Lytechinus pictus: one gene and its partners. The protein of the gene in region 3 purifies or fractionates together with the protein of the main gene of each other region. This does not show direct contact. Links are inferred from orthologs where the notes say so. Each region holds a gene or a part of one and is shown on either strand. Other genes may lie near its edges.

The links.
Region 1: the proteins of cdc42 homolog (region 3) and formin-binding protein 1-like purify together in Drosophila melanogaster (affinity purification with western blotting; 4 studies listed by BioGRID). This does not show direct contact. The link is inferred for Lytechinus pictus from reciprocal best matches to the Drosophila melanogaster genes Cdc42 and Cip4.
Region 2: the proteins of cdc42 homolog (region 3) and actin nucleation-promoting factor WASL-like purify together in Drosophila melanogaster (affinity purification with western blotting; 3 studies listed by BioGRID). This does not show direct contact. The link is inferred for Lytechinus pictus from reciprocal best matches to the Drosophila melanogaster genes Cdc42 and WASp.

What each region holds. Positions count from the first base shown.
Region 1 is NC_087259.1:13,023,844-13,031,314, forward strand, and holds the start of formin-binding protein 1-like, read right to left. Parts: upstream 3,276-7,471; coding exon 3,150-3,275; intron 1-3,149.
Region 2 is NC_087247.1:47,756,488-47,764,156, reverse strand, and holds the start of actin nucleation-promoting factor WASL-like, read left to right. Parts: upstream 1-4,544; coding exon 4,545-4,634; intron 4,635-7,669.
Region 3 is NC_087258.1:1,884,396-1,891,703, forward strand, and holds the start of cdc42 homolog, read right to left. Parts: upstream 3,016-7,308; 5' UTR 2,907-3,015; intron 1-2,906. UniProt on the Drosophila melanogaster protein: Regulates mbt kinase activity and is also required to recruit mbt to adherens junctions. Together with mbt and Frl, regulates photoreceptor cell morphogenesis. Together with Frl, has a role in the neuronal development of mushroom bodies.

The DNA of each region.
Region 1 (7,471 bases), on a different chromosome or scaffold from region 3:
ACAAAACTAGACGATATCTGTGATTCATAATTCCTTTTTCATTTATTATTTCTTTAAATATTGCAATTATTATTATTATTTTTTTTTTTTTTGGGGGGGGGTTCATTTACACCAGTGAATGTGAAAGGGGAGAGAGGGCCCCTTTTCTGTTTATTTGATCAATTGCTTGGGTTTCCATTCCCTTTATTTCTTTAATACCGTTAATGTACAGCAAATGATCTCTTTAATCACAATATCTCATCATTCTTCTATCAAAACCAACAAAATCCATCAAAGCAGGCTTTCCCTTTAAAGACTCACTAAAGGATTAATACATGAATTACATGTAAACATCTATAATCTATTGATACGGCTATGATACCCAGCAAGACATGATGATATATCTATAAACCTACTCAGATCTATTCACATCTATAGGGCATTAGCGGAGAGTGATAATTTACAGCCTCTTTCTTTTGGTTTCTGTCAATACAGTATTTGAACTCTTGCTGCTTGTCTGTCATATAGACAAGGAAGTGGCAGATTTTGTGGTGATTCTGCAGGCTGAAGGCAGGATAGAGGAAATGATTGCCGGGGGATGGAATCAGAATCCCAAAGCTTGGATTTCTCCGGGATGATTTATTTTGTCGGGCTAAAGATTAAACATGAACTTTCATGTTACACCGATTATCCCATGTTGTATGCTGTACAAAATATCATACCAAGAACTCATGTACATGTACAATGTATGTACATACTGTACGTGTATTATAGGGCTTGAAAGAAATATAACCGTTCAATGTATGTACATGGGGTCGACATCGTTTCATTGTTAATTCAAGCTTTTTGGCAAAGCAGGTCGAGTTTGAGAAATTAATTTTACATACCTTAGAGTGGGTTACATGTCTACATTTAGGTAATATCTATACACAGTACTCGATGTAATATAGGCCCTCTATAATATGTCTGCAAGGAAGCTCAAACCTATCAAGTACATACTGAGATTTGTTTGCATTTTTAAACAAATTCAAATCAAACTCACATATATAGTTGTGATATTATAAGAAAGAGTGACCCCATGGGTGCGCAATAGAAAATAATGGTGCGTTATACATGTAGGCCTACAGTGTGGGCTCTGAGTATGGAATCGCCACTTCATAATGCATGGGTTATGAGTCAAGTCAATTTGACATGTATCAGAGTAACCCATTATAATATATTGCAAATAGACTACAAACTGCATTGAGCTGGGGAGGCTTTCAAAGGTTAGATTGTAATTGTTAAAGTGAAAATAGCATCAACTTCCGTATTCAATGTCTAGTCATATTTAGAAAAATATCTACAATGAAGAACTGTGGACTGCACATTAGACACCGTCCTCACTACCTTCCTAAAACTAGTTTACTGGAAACTAATAGTGGAAACTAGTTTAACATGTAGAAAGATCGAAGCGATCTCCCAAAATCCAAACCGGTTCAGAAAACCACCTCGCGATGTAGTTTTAAACTGGTTTTAGCATAAGTGAGGACACAACCGTTCTTCGGGAAGCAATCTTCGCACATTTTGAGCGTGCTACTCCACACGACAGGTGTAGAATGCCTACGCTGCGGTTTCAAATTTCGCGCAAAACGTGTCACCCCACTGAGAGCGTTTCCATAGCAACAAGATCGCTTTACGTGAAGTGATTTTGAAAACCACTTTCGTGTGATCAAGTGGGAACGCAAGCAAAGCGATCTTCCAAACTGGTTTCCTGAATCGGTTTCCAGTAAACTAGTTTTAGAAAGCGTAATGACAACGGCCTCTTAGATACATGTAGGCCGACCTAACCAGCTCCATGCTAGAGTGTCTGGTGAGAAGGCAGTGGGGTCCCATTTTTAAAAGTCTGGTATTACTGAGTCAGGGATAGAACCCAAGACTATCAATAGCAAGGTGCTTTACCTTTAGAGCCAAGTTTACAGACTACAGAGTAGGTTCTTTTGTGACAATAATTTCGTGTCAAGCCAGGTTTCAAATATCTGACCACAACAATGTCCAAGAACAAGACCTACATATACATGTATGTACATGTGAAAGAGAAATAAGCTACACGTATTCCCAATCAAAGGCAGGCCTAATGCAGTGTAGTCTGCATGCTACACACTAGATTAGACAAATGGTAAGCAACAAATAATTGATATCTGTCTCCTGGGAAGCGTTTCATCAACATTTTTGTCTGACAAGTTGTCCGATCTAACATCTTTTGCTGATTTTGATTGGCTGAGATGCAATATTACTATGGTAACTGTCAGATAAAATAGGACTTGCTGGATAAGACGTCCATCCGACAAGTCCCAGAAGCGCAATGACAAGATATCTATAGGCCTAAACCCAGAATCAGACCCATTTTTTTATGTCAATCATTTTGGATCTATACTTCTTTCCTAATGAAGACAGCAAGCACTGAATAATTGGCACAGGATACACTACCCTGCAAATTGAAAAAGAAGAGAGATAAACAGGAAACCAGCCGAGAGGTGAGCAAAAGGCAATCCAAAGTTCGTGAAGTTCCAGCCAAGTTTTTGATTATATATATGCCTTCCTAAATGAAAATATCCTCCTTTAAGGATTAATTGAATACACACAGCATGGTTACATACATGTATGTCAGACCCTACTACATGTAGTCTACTAAATGGGTAAAACAGAGATACTAATAATAATAACATAGGGTATTTGTATAGCGCACATATCCACGTGGTAAAGTGCTCAAGGTGCTCCTATGTTACCCTGGCTAAGCTTGGCTACCGATTCCGGTGCTCACAGCTTTTTGAAGAATTACTTCCTGCCGGGACTAGATACCAAGGTTCTCAGTTCAAGTCCTGAGGCAGCACATTGGTCTCTTTTTTGCAGAGATGTTGTGTTCTGCAGCACAGATCATCACCACCTACTTGGTGGTATCTCCAAAGATCACTCTCCATGAAATATGCAGGAGGACTACGAGATGTCACTTCTATGGCTGCTTATATGCTTTAAAATCAAACCAACCAAAGACCATTTCCCGAACAAACCAGCCAGGACATGGTGACAAAGTTTACATTCAGTTTATTCAAACCAATCAACCATACCTTGTACTGCTAATACTTCATTCACACACCGCCTATGATTGCGTAGACCTACAAGGATTCACTCACCCCTAGAAGAATATTGACAGCCTGTCTGTAGCTGACAGTAGGTTCCAAGGGATCTGAAGTGGAGTTGATCTTGTCCCGATGAACACTACCACGTCCCTTATGTGGAGGTTTCTGAAAGGCAGACATCATAACAGGCTGCCAAAGACTATTCGGTTTATTTGAAGAACTTTGTTGAATTGTAAGCTCCGGCATTCAGAAGAACGTGACGTGCTCTTAGGTTTAGGAACTTGAAGAGTCACCCTATGGAAATTGATGTCCTCAGTATGACAACCTTGACCAATCGATCAAGGTCCTATACCTCTCTTGCCACACACACTGTTGAAAGATATATATTACTCACAAGAATATTGAGACTGACTGAAGGGGCTAAGCTATGGCCAAGGAAATTGTTTTAGAGTTCAGACTGCAAACTGCTTACATCCAAGTTCCTTGAGAACGTTGTACAATAATTGCAGGGAATGATTTTGGTCAGGTCAACACTAACAATCCCCTGAATCCCAAGATTGCAATTGCAAGGACAAATATTTTGTTGCAAACTGGAATATTTGTTGAAGTGGTAGCACAGAATTGACTATCCTTTTAAAAGAAGTGTAGTTTAAAAACTGCTGTCACAGAACAAGTTTGGCTGTCACGTATTTCTCAGTCTTCGCGAATAACGGCTCTGAAACCAAAGCCCCCCAAATGCAGCGGAAGCCTTCTATCCTTGTCATGCACTGCAAGTTTAAAACAAGATAAACCAAATCTCCCACTCTTAATTCCCATCGGCTCCACTTAAAAGACAATCAGAGAACATGAATGTCTGCGGCTGTGAATCCCTTCGGCCTTCTCAGCCATTCCAGAGAAGAGAAACAATCGAGCAACACAGAGGGAATGAACAGACCTCCACTGTTTACTTGGCAAAAGAAGAAACTGTAAAGAGAGAAAAAAAGGGGACGAAATCCAGCCTTTGCCTCTCGCATTTCTCTGATTGGATTAGGAAATATACAGTCATCGTCTGGATTAATTATCCTTTTTTCTTTCCATAAAGGGAGCGGAATCGAACCCTGGCAGCAGAGCCGAGGGTGCGCCTCCCAACGTGGGCTGAGATCTGGGGCACCACGATATCACAGATGCTTCGTGTTTCATAGCACTGATGATGTAATAGGCCATCTTGTCATTACAGGCTTATGGAGCCCTGCCATCAACAGATATCTGCTGGATTGCGATTAAAAGCAGACAAGCTTAAAATAACTTCTAGGCCACTTTATCGTTTTGTTTACTTTAACAAGAACATAGCAATCCAATTAATCAGATATATTTATGTCAAGCAGTAACAGGAAGTCTTTCTTTTACAGTATTTCTTGTCTAAATCTACTGAACACTTTCAAATATAGTCGAAGGACATTTTTAGGTATAAACAGGTGATAAATACTTTCAGCTCATCAATACAGTAAATAATGTACAAGAAAATTGTACATACATGTATGTATTAAAGCCTTCACGTGGACCTGTCAACATTAGATAATAACACTGAATATAACTACTGATTGGAGAAAAAATGTTATGACATTTCTCTGAATTATGCTTTCCTGGGTGTAGTACTCATGTTGAAAGGTATATATTTCACTTTCATACATAACCCAACACTTTTTAAATTTCTGCTGGTAGGATGGCTAAGGGTAATCAATCATTTAATATAATTTGTTTCAAATCAATTGGATGCTTCTGAAAAAAGTCAACAACAGTTGGCATTGCGTTAAGGACAATTTTTGGCAATAATTGTGTTTAGTAATAATTACTGGTCATAGCTTCGTGCAGAACAGCAAACAGAACTTAAATGTATCATGTTTAATATGTGCTATTACCTTGTGCAAAATGATATTTTTATTATTTTTTGTTTGTTTTTTACGTCCGCACATACTCCATATAACCGCCTCACGCCGAGCGAACACTTACTCCTGAAGACGGACAGTCAACCTGCCCGAAACGTCGAGTCTCTCTACTGCTTCTGCTCTTCATTTCTACTCGCCGACTCAAGCCAGCATCTCCTCATCCATCCTACTACTCAAGCTGTTTCAACTCATCAATCTCTTCTGGTTTACAGTCCTTTTCAGGACTACATTCAAGAAAGATTATTCTGCTCTCACATTTCTACTTCTCACCTATCCATTTATTTTTCTTCTTCTATCCACTGTTTCTATAATACTCCACATGGTGTACCGTAAACCACATCAGCAATTGTTTTTTACTGTTTTGGAAAACAAAGGCATACCAACTTCCAATGAAATACCAAAATTTAGAAATCACAGATTTTTGCTTCTAGTGTAAATACTGTACAACCTCGATGTAATTCAACTGTATTAACGTGCAAATTTTATTGGATTCTGTTCGAACTCATTTTGAGATTGTTACCACAACTGGTATTTATCTTTAACATGCAAATTTTCCACTTGATCTACTAGGGGTCAAAATCATCCAACATACACTTTAATTATCTGGAAAACAATGAAACTGCAAGTCACAAGCTCACAGCGTATTTGTTTTGAAACAGGATTTGGTTGTGGCTTATTACAGTAATTCATTATGGACTGCAGCCAGAACAAAAGCTTTTCCACAACATATAAAAGGAAAGGAACATTTAGACAAAAATGAAAAATAAAATATGATATGAAAATTGGGTACAGATTTCATCAAGAGTGTGAACTACGGAAAATGCTCTACAATACACTGTTACTTCGAAGTGAACATTCAATACATTTTTTCAATAAGATGGCCAATATGAGTAAGCAATGGAAAAAATTTCAAAAAATTTTGAAGTAAACATACAGATAAAAGTTTGCAACTTAGCTTGTAAAACTGAACATTTCCTATTCAATTTCAACACTCTTTGAGGCATGTAATTGATCCTATGAATTTCTTAAACATACATAGGGATTATCCTAGAATGAGTAGGCAAAACTTGATGCAGACAGGGTAGTTATTCTTTCAATGAAGTGAGTCCAATGAACACTAAAAATAAGAACTTTAACAATTAACCAATCCATGCTGACTAGGGCTGTTAATCGTTAAAAAAGTTATCTGTCGATATATTGCTTAAAAAAATATCTTACTGATATCGATAACTATCGACAAAAGAACATAATCAATACGCACTCTTTGTTTTTATGTATTATAATGATGACACAATACTCGCGTTGGGCAAAATTTGTATCTGCCACTGTACCAAGAAAGCTTTATAATCCGCGTTCATCGGATGTAAACGATTACCGGTACATAACATCTTTTAAGAAACATATTTAGCATTTAAATACATCCTCACCTTCCACGTTTTTAGTATTATTTTAGGGTTGGATGAAGTTTTATTGATAATTTTTGGGCTTTTTGGACATCGTTCTGAACAGTCAAGGTCTTTCGCCTATCCGCCATTTTTAAAAGTGTTGTACATCTTCGAACGTAGAGGGCAACACACAGCCGTGTGCTGCCTTCGTTGGTACTTTGCTAAAATTGAGCTTGCGCTTGTGAATGCTTTCGATATACGATCGAATGGAGTCGAGTGCGATCACGATATTTGGATAAACACGATTATAGCGAAGTGAGATCGTGTTTTTGTGGCTAGTAAATATTTGTATTTTTTTTTTAGATTTGGGAGTAATTTCTGTTGCTGTTCTGTGCATTTTGAGGAAAAAATACGTTTTCCGTGATTTTCCTTTTGAGAAGCCAAGATCTTTTGGCACAACATTCAATCAATTTGTCATCAACGCTGTTTTTTCTTTTTTTTTCAAGCCTACCCACTGCTATCCAAACTAGAGGAAGTTCCATAGAATATTAATAGAATTATAATTGAGATCAATTTATTTCTTTTATGAATCTGCAAAATGTATTATACTTGATCAAATCAACTTCTGAATTGTGTTTCTTGGGTTTAAAAAAAGTGTTAATTAAAATCCAGAAATTAAGAGTTGTGATGAGAATTTGAAACAAATATGATACACAACTGTATCACTTGGATCCTTCACAAAGAAAGCACTTACAAATGACTTTGATGAAAGTAATGTGGACTATTAGCCCTAATTCTGCAAGATTACATTAATAGGAGTATGTTGTTAGACAGACGTGTAATATCAATAAAGATGAGTCAACCTTCGTCTGGTGGGGGAAGAAATTGAGGCACTTTGAGACACAGGAAAATGCCAATTAATTGGCAAAGTATAATATGGCCTTATAAATGCATCCCATTTAGAAGTATATTTTGATTTGTACTTCCTCTTTCATGTACATCTCTGTCTACATGTATAAAGTTACTGACCTTTTATTCTGGTATAAAGATTAGGAATTAGTCATTA
Region 2 (7,669 bases), on a different chromosome or scaffold from region 3:
AGATGTACTTAGACGACCTGCATGTTATGCTGCAGTCGGAGGTCACATGGTAAGGTCAAAGGTCATTTTCAGGTCAATGTTAAAGTTTACATGCAAGACTCTCATATGACACCTAACTCCGTAACCGTCAGTCACTTTTCAACCAAACTTGGATGGTAGATAGACTTGGGGGACCTGCATGTTATGCTGCAGTCGGAGGTCACATGGTAAGGTCATTTTCAGGTCAACGTTAAAGTTTACATGCAAGACTCTCTTATGACACCTAACTCCGCAACTGTAAGTTGCTTTTCAACCAAACTTGGATGGTAGATGGACTTGGGGAACCTGCATGTTATGCTGCAGTCGGAATTCACATGATAAGGTCAAATGTCATTTTCAGGTCAACGTTAAAGTTTACATGCAAGACTTTTTTATGACACCTAACTCCGCAACCGTAAGTCACTTTTCAACAAAACTTTTATGATAGATGTACTTAGACGACCTGCATGTTATGCTGCAGTCGGAGGTCACATGGTAAGGTCAAAGGTCATTTTCAGGTCAATGTTAAAGTTTACATGCAAGACTCTCATATGACACCTAACTCCGTAACCGTCAGTCACTTTTCAACCAAACTTGGATGGTAGATAGACTTGGGGGACCTGCATGTTATGCTGCAGTCGGAGGTCACATGGTAAGGTCATTTTCAGGTCAACGTTAAAGTTTACATGCAAGACTCTCTTATGACACCTAACTCCGCAACTGTAAGTTGCTTTTCAACCAAACTTGGATGGTAGATGGACTTGGGGAACCTGCATGTTATGCTGCAGTCGGAATTCACATGATAAGGTCAAATGTCATTTTCAGGTCAACGTTAAAGTTTACATGCAAGACTTTTTTATGACACCTAACTCCGCAACCGTAAGTCACTTTTCAACAAAACTTTTATGATAGATGTACTTAGACGACCTGCATGTTATGCTGCAGTCGGAGGTCACATGGTAAGGTCGAAGGTCATTTTTAGGTCAACAATACAGTTTACGTGCAAGGCTCTTAAGACAAGTGTTATTCCATCCCAGTCATTTCACAATGAAGTTTGATACGATTCTGTTGCGTGCCCTCGCAAATCATGATATTTCTGGTTTTTTTCATAAGTGGGCGAGACACAAAATCGCTTTTGCCTTGTTTTTTTAGATCTAGGCCTGTTTTACCATTGTCAGCCACGGTTGTTGGTGAAGTTCACGGTTGGCGGATTTGCCCTGAAAATTTTCAGGGTAGTCGCCGCCCGCCAACCGTGATGCATGGTAGCGAGAACGTTGCTACCTTCAATATAAATCAGTAGAGGCGCTGGTCAGAAAATTTGGATCGTCCCAGTTCCAGGGACTGTCTCAGTTTTCAAAGATTTTGCCACCCAAGAAATCTAACAAAGTTCATTGACCTGTCAATTGCAGACACCAATCAAGTGCGCTAGTCAATGTGAACATATCAGGTTTCATAACAAGATTATTGGACGACAGCAAGTAATTCAAAATAGACTGGGAATTGAGGTCACTGAATTTTTTTTTTAGCACTCTCAATCCCCGTAATTGCCATCTATGTCCTGCAGGGGTAAGTGCAAAAACTGTCCCCATAATAAACAAGGACAATCTCAATTTATCAAGACATGATTTGTCTTGGTTTGTGAGGATATCCTTGTTTTCTGGGACAATCCCAATTTCTGGACCAGCGCCTCTACTAATAAATAGGCCTTTGTAAATATCTTGCCATAATCGTTTTTTCATCTTTACCATATCAGCTTCCAATCGCACCCATCTTCTCATTTGAAATATTTTGGTCACTTGAAAATGGTATCGTCATGATTGTATTAACCTAGGGTTACACCAAAGCCGAATGAATCTGGACTGATTCTGCCCGAATATTGCCTGATTCAGATGAATTCTCTGTATTCAGAACTTATTAGTCTCTGATCATGCTGATAGCTGATTCGGGAAGTCCCCCCCCCCCCCATTACAGGAATTGCCAAGAATTGACCCGAATCAATTAGCCATCCTGAATAAAGCCAAATGCTACCCGAATAGTGGCAAGAATGGAGCCGAATGTGGCCGGGTTACTCCTATTACAGCTAAATGATGATCTGAATCAGAACGAATTTGGCCAAATCTGCCCAGAATACTCTGAATGTTTCACCTAATCCAACGGAATGTCATCCGAATACGGTACATCCCGAAGGTGGCCCAAATGAAATTTGTTGTGGCCACATTCATTCAGGAATATTTTAGAGGGTATTCGGTTGGTTTTGACCATTTCAAAACGAGACGAATTCTTCCACAAATGTTCTTGAGTCTTTCCCGTATTTTCTCCCATTTGCGGAGGGAGAACAGAATGCTCTCGAATCCACTGGGATACGTATTTTCGGATGGTGAGATCATAATGTAGGCATCCGTCTTAGCTTAAAACCAAAAAGTGAATAAACTATGATGACACTGACCATGAGAGGTTAGTTTGACTGATTTAAAAGTGGTCAATGGGCTTAACTTTTATCAAGGTAGTGATGTGTTTAGATCTCTGAATTATTAAAGTTTTGTGGCTTGTAAATTATTCCTGAGTTTGCAATAGCCATTGAAACATAAAACTGACTTAATACTTGGCATGTTACCTATAGTACGAATATATCAAGTTGGTTTAATCAATGTTATAAGTGTATTTTAAAGGAAATTTGAATAAGTATTTAGACATACATGTAGTGCATGAATCTAGACCTATGACAGCAAAGTCTCACTGCCTAATTATGTCCAAGTTATACTTAGATCTCATTATGCGCCCGTCTCGACGGGACATATTATGGTCATGCTCGGTGTCCGTCCGTCAACTTTTCCTTGTAAACGCGATAACTCCAGTTTAACTTAACCTAGGCTCATGTAGTGTGGTGTGTATAATACTAGCATGAATCCCAGGAAGCCTATGGATTTTGAGGTCAAAAGGTCAAAGGTCAAGGTCATAGTGACATGTTTTCATCTTACCCTTGTGCAGTCCTTGTAAATGCGATAACTTCAGTTTAACTTAACCTTGGCTCATATGATTTGGTGTGTATAATACTAGCATGAATCCCAGGAAGCCTATGGATTTTGAGGTCAAAAGGTCAAAGGTCAAGGTCATAGTGACATGTTTTCATCTTACCCTTGTGCAGTCCTTGTAAATGCGATAACTTCAGTTTAACTTAACCTAGGCTCATATAATTTGATGTGTATAATACTAGCATGAATCCCAGGAAGCCTTTCAATTTTGAGGTCAAAAGGTCAAGGTCACAGTGACATGTTTTCATCTTACCCTTCTGCAGTCCTTGTAAATGCAATAACTTCAGTTTAACTTAACCTAGGCTCATGTAGTTTGGTGTGTATGATATTAGCATAGATCCCAGGAAGCCTATCAATTTTTTGGTCAAAAGGTCAGAGGTCAAGGTCACAGTGACAGGTTTTCACCTTACACTGCTGCAGTCCTTGTAAATGCGATAACTTCAGTTTAACTTTACCTAGGCTCATATAATGTGGTTTGTGGTGTGTATGGTACTATTATGGATCCCAGGAAACCTATTGATTTTGAAGTGCAAAGCCCAAGGTCACAGTGACATGTTTTCATCTTACCCTTCTGCAGTCCTTGTAAATGCGATAACTTCAGTTTAACCATGGACCTATTACGATGGACATTCAACGAATCCCCTCCTTTGGGCCAAAGACCGTCACCGCTAATCCTTTTATAAACAGAGCGCTGGCAGCTGACGCCCATCAAGCCGGTCGTAAAACAAGCTATCACTGATGGACAGCGGAAATCAATTGTACGCTGCTCCTACACATTGCGATGTTGTTCGTTCACTTTATCAAAAGCAACGCACGGCAGCGAACGTTAGCACTATGAAAATGATTGCAGAAACAAGAAAACAGGCGTGCATAAAGGTATTTTTTACGTACATCGCAAACAACCGCACATGAAATGCATTGACATCGTCGTGCAGATCAGTATATCTACTGCAAAAAAGCAGTTGAAATTTGATGGAGAAATGTGCGGAAAAACGTTAAAAATGCATCTTTTTCGGACAGTATTGATGTCGATAGTAGCGCTTACCTTCGGTCAGAAGTTGATTTTCATTTGGGCATAAAATTCCACAGGATTGATGAAATTTAACGGGATTTTTTTTCATGGTCAGACGACAATCGCACATTATAGACAGCCTAAAATAATGTACTAAAAAAACGGAGATGAGTTGCGCATTGCATTTTAGGTAATGTAGGGACTTTCCCTATTGGCAATCGGGCTAAAACATGACCGTCTTTGGTCGAAAGAGGGCCAGTGATCGATCGATGACGATCAATGGCCGAAAGGAGCTTGTGTAAACAATCGCCCCGGGCGGTCGTCGTAAAAACCGCGTAAAGAGAAAGTTAAAGGTTAGACAGCGATTTTGACAGCTGGAAACAGGTGGTGGTCATAAAATGCTATCGTTGAATGTCCATTCGTAATAGGTCCATGGTTTAACTTAACCTAGGCTCATGTAGTTTGGTGTGTATGATATTAGCATGGATCCCAGGAAGCCTATCAATTTTGAGGTCAAAAGGTCAAAGGTCAAGGTCACTGACAGGTTTTCACCTTACCCTGCTGCAGTCCTTGTAAATGCGATAATTTCAGTTTAACTTAACCTAGGCTCATATAATGTGGTGTGTATGATACTATTATGGATCACAAGAAGCCTATTGATTTTGAGGTCAAAAGTTCAAGGTCACAGTGACATGTTTTCATCTTACCCTTCTGAAGTCTTTGTAAACGTGATAACTTTAGTTTAACTTAACCCAGGCTCATCTAATTTGGTGTGTATGATACTAGCATGGATCCCAGGAATTCTATTGACTTTTAGGTCAGACTGTCAAAGGTGAAGTCGCCACCTTCCACTTTTTTTTTTGCTTGGCAAATAACTCCATTTTCCGCTTTACAGGCAGGCGTATTATGTGCTCGCCTTATAGCGACACTTGTAGAATTAGGGTTAGGGTATGAAGATGAAGAATACATACCTTGGCTTTATTTAGTCAGCAAGGTTACTGTGGTGACATCCTGGGGCTAACGTGGGAAGGGTCCCCGCGCCAAGTTGTATTTCTAAAACTGCACAGCTATGGTAGAAATCCACTGCCACTGGGCATAAATGGCCCCCAAAATCCCCCTGGTCTTTCAACTGATTAGATAGCCAATAATCTAGTAATAAGATTTTGACTGTTACAATATCATTGGTAAATTGTTGAAATGCATGTCACCCATGGCCATATCATTGGAAAATCAAAAGCCCAATATGAATTTGGCAAAGTACTAAAAGTCACAAGTATTCACAAGGCTTAGCCTAGATACAATCTAGCTGTCACATGGCTATATTCCATTAGCTTGGTACACCACACAGTCAAACAGCTTGGGTGAGAACAACTGGCACTATACTACATATACATGTAGCATACTCACAAGTCTCATGCAACAGTCATTAGGTGTGTACAAATCTGTGTCATGTGGCTTTATTCTGTTAGCGTGGTATTCTGCACAAATATTACAACAGAAGATATACTCGCTGTAAGACGAGAACTACTAGAAAATTCACAATGCCATCTAGTGACAAAAACATTGTCGTAGCTCCCTATATAATGCCCAAGCCATTAACACCTTCTTGCTGGTACATCGTGAAGGCGGAGGACATGTATGCTCAAGGTTCCTTGATTAAGTCAACATCACAACCTTCAGTTTTGTTTCTAATTAAAACTTGTTGTATTTATGTGCATTAAAACAATTCACAAACTTCTCTCCTGACAGGTATACAACAGAGGAGCAAGAGAGTAATAGACAGAGTTATATGGGAAGAGAGATAGAGAAAGAGTGAGAATGCAACAAACACCAAACCAAAACAAAAATCATAAAATGATTTTTTTTCCATTTTCTTTTATAATAACCCCCCCCCCAAAAAAAAAATATATATATTTATTTATATATATGATAATAAATAGATATAACCATGCCCCATTTTTTACTCTATACCCTTCAAAAACTGCCCTCTTTCAGAATGTTGGTTTTCAATTCAAATTCAAATAAACATTTATTTTCTTCCGTTTCACAAATTTCTACATTTTTCGTAAACATAAATTGATACAAAAATCAGTTTGTCATGTAGAATATGAATATGTACATGTTTGGTATATAGAAGATGGCATATACCCTACATGTAAATGCAAAGGCCTGTGGCGGGATATGCCTATAGATATAAATACAATACACAATACAATTGATAATACTAGGTCAGTTGATATTGATGAAATGTGGGTGGCTGTTGCAAAAGGAACTCTTTCTTTAAAAATTAATTCTACATTTTATAAAACGAAAGTTAGCACTTATGGCATGGGCATGATATTATCATGATTATTCATGAATCCACTTCATATTTTGTCTTAATTTTGTTGTTAACATTCCATTGTGTACATGGTTCTTCTCTGCAGTACCTCATTTCATTAATTAAAAGCTACACCCCTTCTAGATCCTTGTGTTCCACCACTTCAAGTTCACTTGTTACCCCCAAATTTTCCAAATCTGGGGGGGGGGGGTCATTTATCCTCTTATCCTCTAAGTTATGGAACGATCTTTCTGAGATTATTAAAAAAGATTTAACTTCTGAAACTTAAACAAAAAACCTAAAAACATTTCTTTTCAATTCTCCTTAATTTCATAATTCATGATTTATAAATATTGTCTTGAGCACTCTGCAGAATGGCTTTGACGCTATATTAGTCCAACATTATTGTTGATGCTGGAGCTGCATTTTGTACGTAAAGCAATGTACACAATATCAGTCTGATTAAAAACAATGATCTAATTGACATAAAAACAAAAGAAAACAAAGTTTTGGGAAAGCATGAGAACAATTATTATGGGCATCTTTTAAGTATGCCTACCTCTTATGTTGTTTACAGAGTAATAAGAATATTGTAAGAAAGGGTCCAGTATTCCTCTTTTTATGCGCCAACATTCCTGTGCGACTTTCAGCAAAACATAAAGGCACGAATTCACAAAGTTGATTTTCGAAACCATCGGTTGAACCCATGGTTTATGCAGATTTCATGTATAAATTACGCTTATTTACCGCATACTAAAAAATGTCCAATGCTGATACGTGCTTTTGTCACAGTACGCCAAATAGACGCCTCTTGCCTTGGTTATCCACGCTATTTTATTAATGAGTCCACTGTTTTGAATTAATGAGTCCACTCTTCAAACAGTGGACTCATTGATAAAATAGCATACTTAACCATGGCAACAGGCGTCAATTTGGCGCACTGTGACAAAAGCGTGCATCAGCACTGGAATCTTTAATATAACATGTTAAATAAGCGTAATTTATACATGAAATCTGCATAAACCATGGGTTCAACCAATGGTTTTAAAAAGAACTTTTGTGAATTTGGGCCAAAGATTTCTGCTCATTATTCCATGATTTTACATTACAGCATGCACCAATTATAATAAAATTTTCTCAATCACTGTAATGCCACAATTCCATCTCTTGACCAAACCTTATCTTTTTTTTCTAAATGTATAATGATAACATTATCATGAAACAACAGGTGCAGATAATGCAAATTTGAATCGGGTTTGCTAAATCTTTAGTTTACATGATATGTGT
Region 3 (7,308 bases):
GTATATAATTTTCATATTTGGGATAGCAAGTGCGAAATTTTCTTGATTGTATTTCCTCTAGTTGTCATTTTTAAAGCACTGAAATAAAGGCGATATGCATGCTGTAGTCTTGGCGAAGAACAAAGAAAACAAGATGGCGACGTAAACACGGTGGCAAGTATTCCCCGTCTTTTCATAATAATTTTCTCGTTTTTTTAATGAATTCTTGTTTAAAAATGAAATCAATATCGTAGAAATGTCGGAAATTGAAGTTGTATCCCATTTACATGATTAAGGGCTAGATCTTTTCGAAGGAAAGTAGAAATCTCTGGGAAAAATTTCAGTTTTTTTCGCGGTACACACACATGAATGGGAACGCATTCCCTGCCTCCATGGAGAGTAAGCATACATGTACGTTAGTACATGTAGTTCTAAATGATTTTTACTCTCTAGGAGCCTCCTGGCTAGGCGGCCGTCACATGGCAAAACGATGTACCGGTATCTGAATATTTTGACTTTTTCAGGTTTTGACATTTGGTGGGGTTTTTCAGGGAGCTCTTTTCATTTATCTTACTCTCATAATTACAGGTATTTTAGTTTTCAAGATACATTTGTAGCTTGGGCTATCTGCAGTACTTTTTTCAAATTTGCCTACTCGTTTGATGGTAAAAGGATGTATCTTACAGATACACTCCAAAAGTGCCGCAGAAGAGCGCAATGATCTTTGGTAAAAAGATGTATCTGTTAGTTACACTTTTCTTCCATCAAATGAGTGAGCGCACCCAGCTTCGTGAAATATGGCAAAAGGATGTATCTGCAACATATATTTTTACCATAATCGGTGAACCACGAACTTCATAGACTAGTTGATGGCAAAAAGATGTATCTGCACAACATACAAACTGTGTGCCACGAATTTCAGAGACTAGTTTATGGCAAAACAGTGTACATGTATCTGCAACCTACTGTACATCTTTTTCCACAAATTGTGCCAACAAAAGTCAGATACTAGTTTATGGTAAAAGTGTGTATGTGCAAATTACACCCTTTTACCAGTTGTCATATCTTTAAAGTTTTAAAGGCTTGTTTCATGGCTAAATTGAATTTGACCTTAAACACAAAATGATGTATTTTTGATCTGCAAATACATCACTTTGCCATGATTCAACCATAGAAACTAATCGATGTACATGTATGTGCAGATACACCTTTTTGCCATGATATCGCTGTAGGAATTGTATGATGTACATGTATCTGCAGATATATCATTTTGCCATAAACGTAGGACTAATGTGGACAGTTGAATATCTTGGCTACATGATGGTGTATCTACATAAAAAAAGTTATTTTGATGAAAAACAAAAGTTAAATGTTATAAAAACTATTAAGGGAGATGAATTCAATGACATTCTTATAAATCTAAATTATCTAACTAAATTCAACACTGGGAAATTTTCTTTTGAAGACAAAAGCTGTAACTTCAAAGTGATTTTTCTAAGAATGTGCATTTTGCAGATACATGTACATCGTTTTGCCGTGTAACGGCCGTAGGTGTATACATGTAGAGACAGTGATTTTCCGTTTAAAAAAATGGTCTTTTCCATTTCTGAAAATCTGTTATTCTGTTTCAACTTGATCTAAAAATGGAAATTCTGTTTTGTCACTGAAAATGCACACAGCAAAAACCTGAATTCCATTTTGCAAAGGTGAATTCCATGAATTTTTACATGAAAAGTACAAGAACCAACAGAATTTCCGTTTTACATGTATGTACCGGTAAAACGGAAAATCACTGTCCCTACATGTAGGTGTACTGGTATTGGTAAGCTGATTGTTGGTATAGTCCAGAATTCATTGTTGCATATTTTGTTTTCATTCTTATGCCCTTTATCATCTATCAAAAGGGGGAACTGAGCAGTTCATTCAGAACTCGGTCAGAACAAGTGACAACTGCTATTAAAGAGTAAAGTTAGGCTAAAAGACCACTCACACGTATTGTGAGGTTAGTAGGGCTTTTAGCGATATCAATAACCTTTCTCTCTTGATCAATAATACCCGCAATTATGTAGGGACACAGTGATTTTCCACGATTTCACGGAATTCACGGAAATGGCCCTTTGAAAGTGGCGTTTCAAACGGAAAACATATTTTTCATCAAACTGCACAGAACAGCAACAGAAATTACTCAAAAATCTCACAAAAATACTAGCCACAAAACACGATCTCACCCCACTTTGTTATTATTATAGCGAATCCAAACATCGTGACTGCACTCGACTCTATTCGATCGAATCGAAAACATCACAAGCGCAAGCTCAACTAACGTAGGACAGCCGAGCTGTGTGTTGCTGCCCTCTATGTTTGAACATGTACAGCACGATATCAAAATGGCTGATAATCAAAAGATGTTGACTGCTCAGAACGATGTCCAAAAAGCCCCAAAATTATCGATAAAACTTCATCCAACCCTAAAAAAATGCCAATAACGTGAAAGGTGAGGATGTATTTTTGCTATTGTTAAAGATGCCATGTAGCCATTTACATCCGATGAACGCGTATTTCAAAGCATTATTGGTACAGTGGCAGATACAAATTTTGGCCAACGCGAGTATGTGACATCGCTATAATGCATAAAAATGCGTATTGATTATGTTCTTTTGTCGATATCGTTAAGATACTTTAAGCATGATATCGACAGAGAATTTTCTCAACGATAACAGCCCTCGAGGTTAGTATGCTATACTACATGTAACCTTGCACTACAAACGTGTCTACGCGTGGATATTTTAGTTGTCAGTTAACACCGCTTCATAATGGATTTAATGTTATCCGAAACTCATTCCGCTACTCACCAGGGGTTTTTCTGGTGATGGGCGTTCCATTTAGAATTTTTATATCATAGCACATAAAAGAGCAAAATCGCTTACCTCGGCCAGGAAAGTGGCTTCGCATGTCTCTTCCACGGAAATGAGAGGAAGGTCATTGGTGGCGCTAATACAATTCACAACCTTAATTCAGCTCGTCTGTATTTTATAACTAGAAAAAGTCAAGATTCTAGATTCATTGTACATGTATGCGATATTCCCATGATTGTTTGATAAAATGTAGACACCAATAAATGCAATAACTTAAAAACATACTTTTTAGATTATTTTTGCTGACGATAATACTTTTTGAAACATTCAAAGCGATGACAAATAAAACAAAAAAATAGACAATTCTATGTGCCTTGAACGAAGCCAGCAGTGCTACTGTTCGTTTGTCAACGAACTTTCCACCAAAGTCTTTACTATAAAAAGATTGGACACTTTGCCGACTTCGCGTAACGCTTTGCATCGATTTACGTGTAAAATAGTTTTTGTGGCTAGTCCTTTCAATCTAGTGTCTTTGATATGAAGATAAATCGCGCGCCCTCTTTAGCTAATTGGATGAAAAGTTTTGGAAATTAAAAGACGGATCCATATTTTATCAATGAAAAGAGAAATCAGCGATTAAATGACGCTATTTGAGAGATATGCATGATTTGGGGAATTGACTTCACATCGTTCGGTAAGTTTTGTAGAAGGACTTGATTTTATAAAACCTCTTTTTAAATTCGCGGGATTGCCATGCAATTGTTGCAATTTTGTATGCGCTGTGCCTTCAATTTTCTTGTAAAGCACCCATGGCCAGGGTGGGCTAAGCCTAAGAGTAAGATCGTAGACGAGAGTAAGAACTAACAAGTGGAATGCCTCTGGCCGTCTCACCTGCATCACGCGATTCAATATAGCAGCAGTGCTGATTTTGAAAACTACTATAACTCGCACAAGATGTTCAGTGATACTTGGTTACTCTTATTTCCACGTTTTATGAACTAGACCAATACACTTATAGAGATATGATGGCAATTCAACAAATACCCCCAACGTGGCCAAAGTTCTTTGACCTTACATGACCTTTGACCTTGATCATGTGACCTAAAACTCGCACAGGATGTTCAGTGATACTTGATTACTATTATGTCCAAGTTTTATGAACTAGACCAACACACTTTCAAATTTATGGCTGTAATTCAACAAATACCCCAATTTGGCCAAAGTTCATTGACCCTAAATGACCTTTGACCTTGATCATGTGACCTGAAACTTGCACAGGATGTTCAGTAATACTTGATTACTATTATGTCCAAGTTTCATGAATCAGCTCCATAAACTTTCAAAGTTATGATGGTAATTCAACAGATACCCCCAATTCGGCCAAAGTTCATTGACCCTAAATGACCTTTGACCTTGGTCATGTGATGTGAAACTCATGCAGGATGTTCAGTGATACTTGATTAACCTTATGTATAAGTTTCATGAACTAGGTCCATATATTTTCTAAGTTATGATGACATTTCAAAAACTTAACCTTAGGTTAAGATTTTGATGTTGATTCCCCCAACATGGTCTAAGTTCATTGACCCTAAATGACCTTTGACCTTGGTCATGTGACATGAAACTCAGGCAGGATGTTCAGTAATACTTGATTAACCTTATGGCCAAGTTTCATGAACTAGGTCCATATACTTTCTAAGTTATGCTGTCATTTCAAAAACTTAACCTCAGGTTAAGATTTGGTGTTGACGCCGCCGCCGCCGCCGCCGCCGTCGGAAAAGCGGCGCCTATAGTCTCACTCTGCTATGCAGGTGAGACAAAAATAGTAAGACTAAGACTCTAAAGAGTAAGACTAAGACAAGTGCTACACAGTCCGACCTCTCTTATCCTGCCTCTCCTTATCCGGATCTCTCTATTATCCGGAGATTTCTTTTTTTTCAATTCAATCTAGTACGTGAGGAAATGAGATTTCAATCTAAACTCAATCCTATACAAAAACTCACTTTGATTACATATATTTTCCAATATAGTCTACCTACAACAGCATTATTTTTCAGAACTTAGGCAAAATAACTTTCCAGTAAATCAGGGCGCAGCGCAAACAATTCATCACGTTCTCTTTTGTTTCCCGGGAAAAACAATGCATGTCTCGCTAGCTAACGCTAGGACTCAATACGGACAGCGCCATCTATCATATCATGTTTGAGCCTACAGTCAGTATAACAATGGCTGACATTGCGAAGCTACGATACCCGTCGCTTTGATCTAATTGTAAAACCAGGTAACAGTGGGTCAAAGAATTGTGACTGGTACTGTAGTTTCATCGAGTCATTCTCTTTCTTTTGAGGTATGCTCGATGTATACCTCAATCATTTTAGCAGGTAAATCATCCAACAGTTTTTGCCATCGATCGGTTTCATTTCCGTAAAAATACCGCCTATAATTTGCACTGACGCTGCAGTGAATACTGTCTGTACACCCTAGATAACCTGCACTGCAGCTACCGCCGTTTGTTGGGGAGGCTATAGAGTACCGAAGTGTGACGTCAGTTGACATGGTGTCATGGCGGGCTGGTTCTAAACAGAATCGCACCCGACTATCGTCTGTACACATTTTGGCTCCTCTGAAAAATAGATTGCAAGCGATCATTCCGATAGCAGCCATTTTCTCCTATGACAAACGCACGCTTTCATTCTGGGTTCATTTGTTTAGAACCAGGCCGCCATGACACTCATTCTGGGTTCATTTGTTTAGAACCAGGCCGCCATGACACCATGGCAACTGACGTCATCGCTTCGGTACTCTATAGCCAGGCGGCTTCTAGAGAATAAAAATCATTTACTAACGTAAGGTTACTCTCATACGAAGCCAGGCAGCCCTCCCCATTCATCTGCGTGTACCGCAAAAAACCCTGAAACTTTCGCCCCCGAGATTTCTACTTTCCTTCTAAAAGATCTAGCTCTAAATCATGTAAATGGGATAAAACTTCATTTCCGACATTTCTACGCTCTCGTTGTTATTTTTAAAACAAGAATTCATCAAAAAAATGAAAAAATATTGTGAAAAGACGGAAGAGACTTGCCCGATGTTTACGCCGCCATCTTGTTTCTTATTGTACTTCCCCAACGTTACGGATGCGAGCGTCGCGTAACGTTGGGGAAGTACAATAAGAAACAAGAAACAAGTATTCAACCTGGCATAATTCAAAGATTTTGACATATTCCCCAAAATATTTAGAAATAGGGAATTTATCTTAATTTCACACCTTTGTTATTTCCAGAGTAATCTGTTGTCGATATTTTCTTTGTCAATCTGTCGACTGTATGCGCGGAGGATCGAATTATGCGGCGATGGCCTTTTGCACTGAATGGTACTAGTATTCAACCTAGTGAGGATTGATAGCAAATCTCAAAAGGGTTTAGATTGCTAAATTAGATCTAGATCTATGTAAATCTCTGGCTTTGATTAATTCCCTGTTTGGTCTCATCTCAAATGGTCTAGTCCATAGTCGGATGGGACAAGGGCAGATTGAGAGACAGGGCCATCTTTCATCGCTAGGTTGAATACTAGTGCCGACGGGTTGAATACTACTTACTAGTACCAAAATCCGTCGCCGACTATAATTCGATCGCCCGCGCACACAGTCAACTGGTTGAAGAAAAAAATAACGGAAAAAGAATAACCAGCATTTGCTCTTGGAAATAAGACGGGTCTGAAATTCAGGTAAATTCTATATTTCTATATATTTGAGGAAACTCTCCAAACGGGTTGAATACTAGTGCCCTTACGGTACACGCAGATGAATGGGGAGGACTGCCTGGCTTCGTATGAGAGTAACCTTACGTTAGAAAATGATTTTTACTCTCTAGAAGCCGCCTGGCTAGGGAGGCAGCAGCTGCGTGTATTTAAAGGAGAATGAAACCCTTGAAACCAGCTGAATCCATATCAAAGAGAAAAATCAAAGAAACATATTGTTGAAAATTTGAGGAAGATTGAATGAATAATATTATAGGAGTGGGCTATAAATGGGTGATTTTTGGTTTTACTGTGGGAACAGTTTTTTTGTGTTCCTTTTACCTTATCTCAACATGAAATGACAATATTTTTTGTCTCGGGTCCGAGAAAAAAGTGTGCCGGGCCAAAATCCAAAATGGCCGCCAAAACCCCCCAAAATCACAGTTTTGGCCACAACTTTTTTATTTGGTGGTCAATTTCTCTGGTTTTGGTGTCTATTCATATGTTTTGGGGGGCAGGCAATTTGTTTTTCCTATAATAAGTACTTTTAAACCATTATTTGTAGAGTTAAAAGGTAATTATACCTAAATTTTCCCATTTTTGTAGCCTTTTTTCAGCCAAAAAGTGGGTTTTATCATCCTGGGGTTCTGGGATATTAGATGGTAGGAGGTCAACAATAGCAAGCAGCTTCATATAGCTATATTGCTTTTATTCCTCCATTTTGGGTTTTTAAGGATAT